2 linked regions of the Oryzias latipes genome follow. The protein of the gene in region 2 interacts with the protein of the main gene of each other region in a pairwise test. Links are inferred from orthologs where the notes say so. Each region holds a gene or a part of one and is shown on either strand. Other genes may lie near its edges.

What was found.
Region 1: the proteins of prmt1 (region 2) and hnrnpr interact in binary tests that used the Homo sapiens proteins (3 or more experiments, as listed by UniProt). The link is inferred for Oryzias latipes from reciprocal best matches to the Homo sapiens genes PRMT1 and HNRNPR.

What each region holds. Positions count from the first base shown.
Region 1 is NC_019869.2:6,651,750-6,656,342, reverse strand, and holds the start of hnrnpr (heterogeneous nuclear ribonucleoprotein R), read right to left. Parts: upstream 2,909-4,593; 5' UTR 2,739-2,908; intron 2,220-2,738; 5' UTR 2,216-2,219; coding exon 2,053-2,215; intron 1,970-2,052; coding exon 1,851-1,969; intron 1,773-1,850; coding exon 1,665-1,772; intron 1,563-1,664; coding exon 1,449-1,562; intron 814-1,448; coding exon 637-813; intron 491-636; coding exon 355-490; intron 269-354; coding exon 63-268; intron 1-62. Other genes in the region: ATPase inhibitor A, mitochondrial, read right to left, coding at 3,845-3,986, 4,065-4,177. UniProt on the Homo sapiens protein: Component of ribonucleosomes, which are complexes of at least 20 other different heterogeneous nuclear ribonucleoproteins (hnRNP). hnRNP play an important role in processing of precursor mRNA in the nucleus.
Region 2 is NC_019866.2:24,804,236-24,808,498, forward strand, and holds the start of prmt1 (protein arginine N-methyltransferase 1), read right to left. Parts: upstream 2,979-4,263; 5' UTR 2,883-2,978; coding exon 2,856-2,882; intron 1,958-2,855; coding exon 1,862-1,957; intron 1,786-1,861; coding exon 1,630-1,785; intron 1,554-1,629; coding exon 1,490-1,553; intron 1,421-1,489; coding exon 1,278-1,420; intron 203-1,277; coding exon 115-202; intron 40-114; coding exon 1-39. UniProt on the Homo sapiens protein: Arginine methyltransferase that methylates (mono and asymmetric dimethylation) the guanidino nitrogens of arginyl residues present in proteins such as ESR1, histone H2, H3 and H4, FMR1, ILF3, HNRNPA1, HNRNPD, NFATC2IP, SUPT5H, TAF15, EWS, HABP4, SERBP1, RBM15, FOXO1, CHTOP, MAP3K5/ASK1, MICU1 and NPRL2.

The sequences.
Region 1 (4,593 bases), on a different chromosome or scaffold from region 2:
TATGTCTTAGAATCATTTTACAGGTACAGGTACTTCCATTTCTGAACAGGAAAATAGCTCACCTTTGCCATGACCTCTGGGTCGGGTTCAGCTACAGGGTCAGCCCACTCAACGGTGACGGGGTTGCCCCAAACCTTCACCTTCCCACTCATTAGACGCCGCCGAGCTTGTGCTGCAGACTTGTGGTCCTCGTACTCCAGAAAGCAGAAGCCACGGTTCTTCTTCTTATCGTCTGGCTGGTGGTACAAAATCACATCCTGAAGACCCTCTGCAAAGAAAAACCGCATCACTCGTCAGCGACAGACAACCGACTGAAAGGGTTTCTCCAAATACAATCATTGACTTGAAACAGACCTGTAACCTTGCCGAAGTCTTCCAGTATACTTTCCCTCGTCTTGTTTTTGGGAATTGATCCAACAAACAGCCGGTTGTTTGCAACAGATATACAAACTCCCAAATACTTGCCAGGGCGGATTTCGTGGTTATCACACTAAAAACAAAAAAACAAAAAACAGCAAATACTTGAAAAGTAATGAAACACAGTAGAAGAAAACACACATTTGCTCAAACTATTCTTCCACAAAATCACTTTCTTTTATATCCAACGGGATCCATGAGATTTTAAAATGGACTTACAAGCTTGACGGCCTTTTGGGCATCGTCCTTGTTGCAGTATGTGATGAAAGCGTATCCTCTGTTTTGACCAGAAAGGGGGTCCATCATTAACCTCAGGTCCCAGATGGGACCTGCAGACTCAAACAGGGGCACAAGCTCGTCTTCATACAAATCTCTGGGGATTTTTCCTACAAACACCTGAAAGAAAGACAAAACACAAAAACTAAATCAATCATGAAAAAAATGACAATTCTATATAAAATTAAAACAATTTCCCTTCTAATTCAACTATCCATATTTATTTTCAACTTTCTTATTTACCTGCTTTATATATATATATATATATATATATATATATATATATATATATATATATATATATATATATATATATATATATATATATATGTGTGTGTATATATATTTCGTTTTAGCATGCGTATGTGAACGATTTTAAACTGATCTTGTGGCGTTTTCCTGTTGAAATAGAGGAAGAAAATTTAGCTCAAATTTGTATTTTTTGGGTATTTCTTTATTCAAATCTATGTAAATCAGGAGCAGACAAATTTAAAAAGATTGTATTTGTCATCTCTGCTCTGCAAAGGGAAAAGGGGGGCGGGGGCGCTTCACGGCAACGGTCCACTCAGGTGAATTTCTACTGAACTCCTGTCGCTCTGCGGAAACTATAATCTAGAAAACTGCACAGGTTTTTGATTGTTTTTCAAATGATATGAAAAGACCAGTGAGAACACTTTGAAAATAGATCAAAAGATGGTCGGAGTGGATCTTTAACGAACAGGATGTGTAATCATGCTTCTTTAAATAATCCCCACCTCTGTTCCAATCCCTGGATGTGTGCCTTTGAACATCTCCTCAGGTGGGGGGCCTCCATACTTTCTTTGTCCCGTGGTGACATCTAGGGTGTATCCTGTTCGCTCCAAGAGAGCCTTGGAAAGTAAACAATCAAAAAATGGGAAAAGCTTTGTAACTGAGAGAACATTTTGGCATTTCAACTTAGCCCAAAAAAACTGCAAATCAAGAGCGTTTACCTTTATTTTTGCCTCATCTGGGCCTTTAGTGGACTCTTGTACCTTACTGCCTTGTTTTTCTCTCTGCCTATACGTCTTCATAACTCCACAAAGAAACGCACTTTTATTCTGCAATTAAACAGACCAAATGATACTTTAGAAAACTGTTTAAAAAAGTACTGATGAGCACATAATTGAGTGTAATACCTGCACATGGGACAGATCGCTCTCCTTAAACTGCTGCAGGACTGTTAGAGCTCCCTCCTCATTGAACTCCCGTAGAGCATCAATGGCCCTTTCATCCAGATCTGCATACGCTACCAGGCCTAAACATCATGACAAAGTGAGCTAAACTGAACACATCAACAACAAACACATTGGAGCTTTGAAGGTAACAACAACCAGCCACCTGTTTGGAAAATGTTGTCTAGATTTTCAGCCACTTTCTGGGGAAGCCCTGCATCAATGAGGGTCTGGTAGTTTTCAGTGTGAGTTGTAGTTGTAGTCACATCCATAGGCTCCTCTTCTTCCTTTACTGGGGCCGAACTACCATTCACCTCAGCGGAAGCCATTCTCCTGTTAGATAGACATGAATAAAAACAGTTTTAGTTTATTACTTCATTTACTGTCAACTTGACATACCAGAAACAAGCTATCAAATTACGGAATATCTGGCTTTTAACTCAAAGATTTTTTAAACGAAAACGTTACGTTAAATGTCAGTATTATTATAAAAAACAATGTTATTTATTACTGATTTTCAAAATAAAACGACCCGCTCATACATTTTAAAAGGCTTATTCCACAGTACCGCCCCCTTCACATGGCGCCTGATCGATAGCTAACATCTTTCATTTATAATACTACGTGGCCCAAAATGTTCTAAAAGCTTAAGAAAAAAACAGTCATCAATGAGATCCAAAAAGTTCCACTCGTTTAAATGAAGTATTAAAGTCCATGTGTGTTGATTTTAGCAGTACACAAGAATACGTCCTAGCTAGCTAACGGGCTAACACGAAGGCCTCGCCGTGCAGCCCAGACACCTTTACACGCGCGCGCCGTAAAAGGCACAAACGGGTAGTTAGCAAGACTTACCAGGATGATTTAGAAAACTAGCTGGAAAATGTTTGAAAAAATATGAAACACTTGTTTTTTCGGGCGTTGGGAAAATGCTAAATGCCAAGAATGTTCAGGTCTACCACACGACAAATTTTTTCCAGACGGCAGCGGTCTCGTCTCGGCTCGCCCGAACAACGCCACTGAGGGAAACATCGCGAGATGTGAGAGTCTGCGGTACAACGTTGGTTTGCAAATCTAGCTCGTGTCATTGGGTCTTCAAAATGGAAACATGACTTTCTGTAATATTTTTTATTTTTCTCAATTTTATGTTTTGTAATATCCGCTTTAAAATTGTGTAAATTTCCAGAGGCTACAAGGAAATCAAACTGTTTTTACAAGTGTAATCAATCTCCTCACCATAACTTAGAAACCAACATATTTACATTTTTTCCAGTACTAGTAATTTATTTTATGATTAAATGATGGGGTGTTTGATTGTAAATTTCGATTAAAGTTGAAATATTGCCCTTTTAAAAATGTGATTTAATCCATGTAATAATTATTCCTCGTTTCATTTGGTTTATTCATTTGTCCTGTTTGGTTTAGTGAGGTAGGAAAGTATTTACAAGGTCTGAGTGAATTTCTTAAATGGGTAAATCCCTCAGACAGAGCTAAGGCCTGAAATGACAGACCTTTGTGAAAGTTTTGGCTTCAGTTTTGCAGCAAATGCCCTTCTTGGTCTGATGGAGCGTATCCATCCCCATAAGCTTGTGGTACCTTTACAGAACAATCCAAAGACTATCCAGATCTGACTTTGCTTAGCAGCTGAGATCACATAAGACCAGGTATCTCCAGCTGTGCCATCAGAAGTGTTCACAACCTCTCCATATCATCACCATAACAGGCTTAAAATAAAAACAAAAAATGAGTCCAGGTGTAACCGGGAACCCTAAATTTTGAGATGGCATAAACAGGGGAAATGAAAATCAACATAAACCAACAGAAAATCAATCATTTTATTTTGGAACGTATATAAAAGATAATCGTTTGCTTCATTAACTGCCAAAATGAGCAGATAGTCAATTATCTTTACATTGTTTTCAACGTTGCCACCCTTTCTATCAGAGTTGTGAGCGCAAACTTCAATCGTCATGTTTCAGTTTTCTAATCTTGCCAACGTGGCGGTCGATCTCCTTTTGCAGACGCTCTATTTCCTTCTTATGGTGCTCAATCTCTTCCGAATGATGCCTCCTCAGCACCTCCAGCAGCTCCATCTCCTTCTTTCTGCAGACAAAAACCATACTTGTCAAAAAGGGAAACGCTGGCATGAAGTTTTCCTCGAAAACCTGTTTCATTTCTTACCTGAAGTACCGCTCCTCCTCCACCACCGCTCGCTTTCCAAAAGCACCTCCTGCCTGCCTCACAGAGCCTCCTCCACCTCCACCTTTCCCTGCTCCTCCGCCCAACTCACCAAGCTGGAACAAAGGGCACATCATAGGATCCCAGCATGCAGTGGCTTTTCCATAAAAACGAGCAAACTTGACTTTTTTTGGTTTCAATTAGGCAACTGTTGCATAACAAAAAAAATTCTGTTTCTTTATTTACATTCCCCAAACATGACAATTCTTCATGCAAATAAAACAGCAGGTGTTTTTGGTGATTGTTGATTCCAAGAAGCTGCATTAAAAATCAACAGATCCAGATTTATTTCCAATCAAAATTATTATACATTGAGTTGAGTATATAAAACAAGAATTGGAAATACGTTTGGAAAATCTTCCAAGAAAATTCCAAAAAGTCTTAAAGGTAACCAATGGACGATGAGAAGGTTATGATGATTGCAGATCCTAAAACCATAGAAAAGTAGTGATCATGTCGTAGATCCAGCTCA
Region 2 (4,263 bases):
TGATACAGGACATGTCGAAGCCGTACACGTTCTCCCACCCTGAAACAGACCGCGCAAACGTGACTCCCCCACCGAGACGGAGCCAGCCCCGCCCCGGTCATGTGACCTACTCACAGTGGATTTTGTAGTCCTTGTACTGCCGGTCTTCAATGGCCGTGACGTATAGAGTAGCTCTGTCAGGGAAAATGAGTCCGTCCGGCTTCTGTGAGGGAGGGGGACATGAGTGTTAGGAACACACTCAGGGGTTACATTTAAACATCTTCAATGAACCGATCATGACTGTGTTCACAGCAGAAGCTCCTTTCTAGAGCCACCAGGAGGATCTTTGAGGGATTCCCAGAATTCCAGCCGCCAACCTTTGCCGTCAGCTCAGCTTTGGTAGAAACTTTTATCATTGAAATGTCGTACTTTTGTTAAGACCATTGACTGTTTCAGAGAACTGGACTGAGTAACCCCTCCCTTCTGGCATTCCAAACAGGAAGTGACTCCAAGAAGCCAATGTCCCATAGACGTCTATAGAGAAACAGACAGCTGTTCGTCCTGTGTTCTATTGGTCAGAAGAACCGTTCTGGATCTGATGCCTTTTCCTAACAATCTATTGATAATTTAAATATTTTTTCTGTAGTTCAAACAATAAACTGACCAATCAGAAGCCTCAAAAGTAGGTTGTGTTAGAAACGTTTGACAGATTTTCGTGTAGCCCACTTTAAGTGGTAGGGGTGTGGCCTTCCAACATGCTCTCTTCTGATTGGTTGTCATAGAAACAACTTAGACCAATCATTGCTCACTGACATTGTCTGGCTTCAACATGGCAGCGTAAAAAATTTAATTTTGAACTTTTCTATCGTTTGACGTAATTCTAGGCCTGCACAAAAAAAAAAATCAAAAAACAATCAACATGGCCATATCAACTTGAGCAATCCCGCATTGCAAAGAGGGCGTAAACGTTGACACATATGCACAGTCAGACAAATGTTTAAAACACACCCAACCACAAATTATCTAGTCTGTTCTTGACCGGGTAGATGGGGGCATTTACCCGCTTACCCATCTCCTATTGACAGAACTGGCAGTACAGTTTGTTGACTTATTTTAAAAAATCTCATTATTATATCAATTATATTGTTGTTGTTGTTTGTCTGTTGCAATATTGGTGGCTAATTTTCTTCATGCCATGCAGCTCCATGTCCCGCTCCCTCAGTCCAGGTCTCACATACAGTCAGTGGTTACAGTTACTAGTTTGGAGGAAGCGCTGACGTCCAGAAGGAGACACCCACCAGCCACTTGTCGCGGGCGTAGATGACTGTGTTGAGCATGGACTCGTAGAACAGACAGTAGCCCATCCACTCCGATATGATGATGTCGACCTTGTCCACCGGCAGCTCCACCTCCTCCACCTTCCCCTTGATGATGGTCACAACTAGAGACAGAAGAGGTCAGGACCTTCCCTCCACATTCAGCGGTCAACACCGGACGGCGGTGGACTCACCGTCATCCATGTTGTTGGCCTTCACTATTTTGACGGCGTAGTCAGAAATGCTGCTGCATTCTATCTGTAACGGCAGAAGCACACGGATGAGACAAGGCGCCGCAACCGGGCGCCGCCAAGCCGAGTCCACGCCTTCCTACCCCGATGACTTTCTTGGCTCCGGCTTTAGCCGCGAACATGCAGAGGATGCCCGTCCCGCTGCCCACATCCAGCACCACCTTGTCCTTGAACAGGTGCTTGTTGTAGAACATGGAGTTGCGGTAGGTCAGGGTCCGGACCTCGTCCTTCAGCATCTCCTGCAGGAACAGAGCAGAGGGCGATTGAGGACGCGGGCACCGGGGGCCGCAGGTTTAACGGGACACGAAGGCGTACCTCGTGGATCCCAAAGTGGGCGTAGGAGTCGAAGTAGTAGTCCTTGGATGTCATGTCTTCAGCTGCAGGCTTGGCTGAGCTCTCTCCCTGAGAAACCTCAAAGGAGGAAAAACCCCATGAATGTCTGCAGATCAAAGGAGTCACGTGATCTGGAACCGCCGAGGAGCCGGTCCGGTTCCAGGCAACACAGAAGACAGAGAAACAACCGATCCGTTAACGCTGCCTCAGAGGAACAAAGGACGTGGACCCGATGCCCCATGAGACCACCGGAAGTTAGAGTTATCCTACCCCCCACCCCCACCCGGTAACGTCGGTTCGGTCGTAACAAAGCCACACGTGACGACCAACTTCCAGAACAAGGTTCTGTTGTTGGACCAGCTCAGAGACCGGGACACTCAAGAGGACGGCAGAACCGGTACCGAAGATTCTAGTCTAGTCCGGGATGAAACAGTGGGACTACCCGCTCGCCGGTTTTCCACTCCAGGCTCGACAGAAAAGCTAGTTCAGGTTTCCGGTAAACCGGCACCGCGCGGGTGGAGTGACCCACGTGGAGCTCCGTAGTGGATCACGTTGATCGAGAGTTTTAACGTAAACTCTGGCAGACTAACGTCCGGCGGATCCGAGCTCAGCATCAGCGTGTTAGCACGAGCTGCTAATTAGCCCGGCAGCTAGCACGTTAGTCTCCATGCGGTCCGAAGGCTCTGCCGGTTCCACCGCCAGCTGCGTGCCTGCCGCCCCCCCACCGTCGCTTCAGCGTCGAACCGAAAATACACACCAGACCCCACCGTAAACAAAAGCCAGTTTGAAGAGTTTAACCGTTTCCCCTGTTTTTCTCGTAAATGCGACACTGTGATGAATGAGCGGCGGCAGCATCCGGAAACTCCAGCGCTAACACCCCCTCTACACCGGCGAAGCGCCGCTCCGGAGCCTGCGGGAAAACTCGCGGACGTTTCCTCGAACACAAATGAGCGTTTTTCCCGCTCAAAGACCTCACCTCCATCCTCTCTGCTGGCGCCGCCATTTCGATCTACAGCGAAGAGTCCGTTTCTTCTTCTACTCCGTCCTTCCTTCTCTTCCTCCGTACATTTAATCTGAATCTGCGTTGAAGGCCTACACCGCCACCTACTGTACAGACGGTGGAAATACCGCTTTACCCGTGAGACATTTTTTCTGCATTTTGCCCCTTTTACCACCATCTGGGGCAGGAATCACTAACCTTCCTGAGGGTGAGGGCTATTTTATGGGCTCCACAGGACCTGTTCACTATACATTTACCAACGTTTTCCCAAAATAAACTATAAAAAAATGCTACAAACACTTTAAAAAGACAATTTATGAATCCACTGGGTAATGATAATGAAACTGCTGGTTTATAAAAAAAATGAAATAAAAATATTTTAACAAAATGTGTTAAAATATTAAAAACTGTTAAATAAAGTCTATCTATCTATCTATCTATCTATCTATCTATCTATCTATCTATCTATCTATCTATCTGTCTGTCTGTCTGTCTGTCTGTCTGTCTGTCTGTCTGTCTGTCTGTCTGTCTGTCTGTCTGTCTCTCTGTCTGTCTGTCTGTCTGTCTGTCTGTCTGTCTATCTATCTTTCTTTCTATCTTTCTATCTATCTATCCATGCTCACTGGTTTTTCGTAGAGACTTCTGGGATATTTCTAGGGCCCTGGATTTTGAAATGTAGATTTGTAGACGCACTATATAGTGAAGGGATTTGGACTCAACGATTTTCTCACTTTCACACAATTTGGCAAAAGAAAACTTTTGTTTAAGCAATTACAGTTTTTTTCAGTCGCTTTAGTACAATTGTCAGATCAGAATGAAATTCCCAAAACTATTTGTTCAATCTTCACATCATGATGTCACTTGTGCACATCATATAAGCAGTTTCTCACTTCTTTGAACAAGTTGCAATTGCTTTGGTACATCCATGCAAATGATTATGTACAATTCTCTGCTCTTTGCTACATTATCAATTGTTTATGTCATGTTGATCAAAATGTATTATATAGTTCACTGTGCAATAGTCTTACTCCTCAAAACTCCTAGTCATTAGTTCATCGTATAAGTCATTAACTGCAAAATGGTTGACCAAGTTGTCATAATGTGACAATCATATTTCGCTGCATTGCAAGAGAGGATATTCGCTGTGATGTGGATGAGAATTTGTGGCCTAACATACAGGAACGACAAGAGGTGTAGGAAGACCACACCAATTCCTACTGCACTGCCTGGACTGTTGGACAGAATATTGTCCTATCTTTTTTCCCCTTTGTGTTACTGTTTGCAGTGGGTTTTTTCTATGTTGGTATGACATGGTCTGTCTACAAATTACAATATGAACAATAAAAGTGTAAATGTGAATCTTGTCCAGTCTCTTGCAATCAAA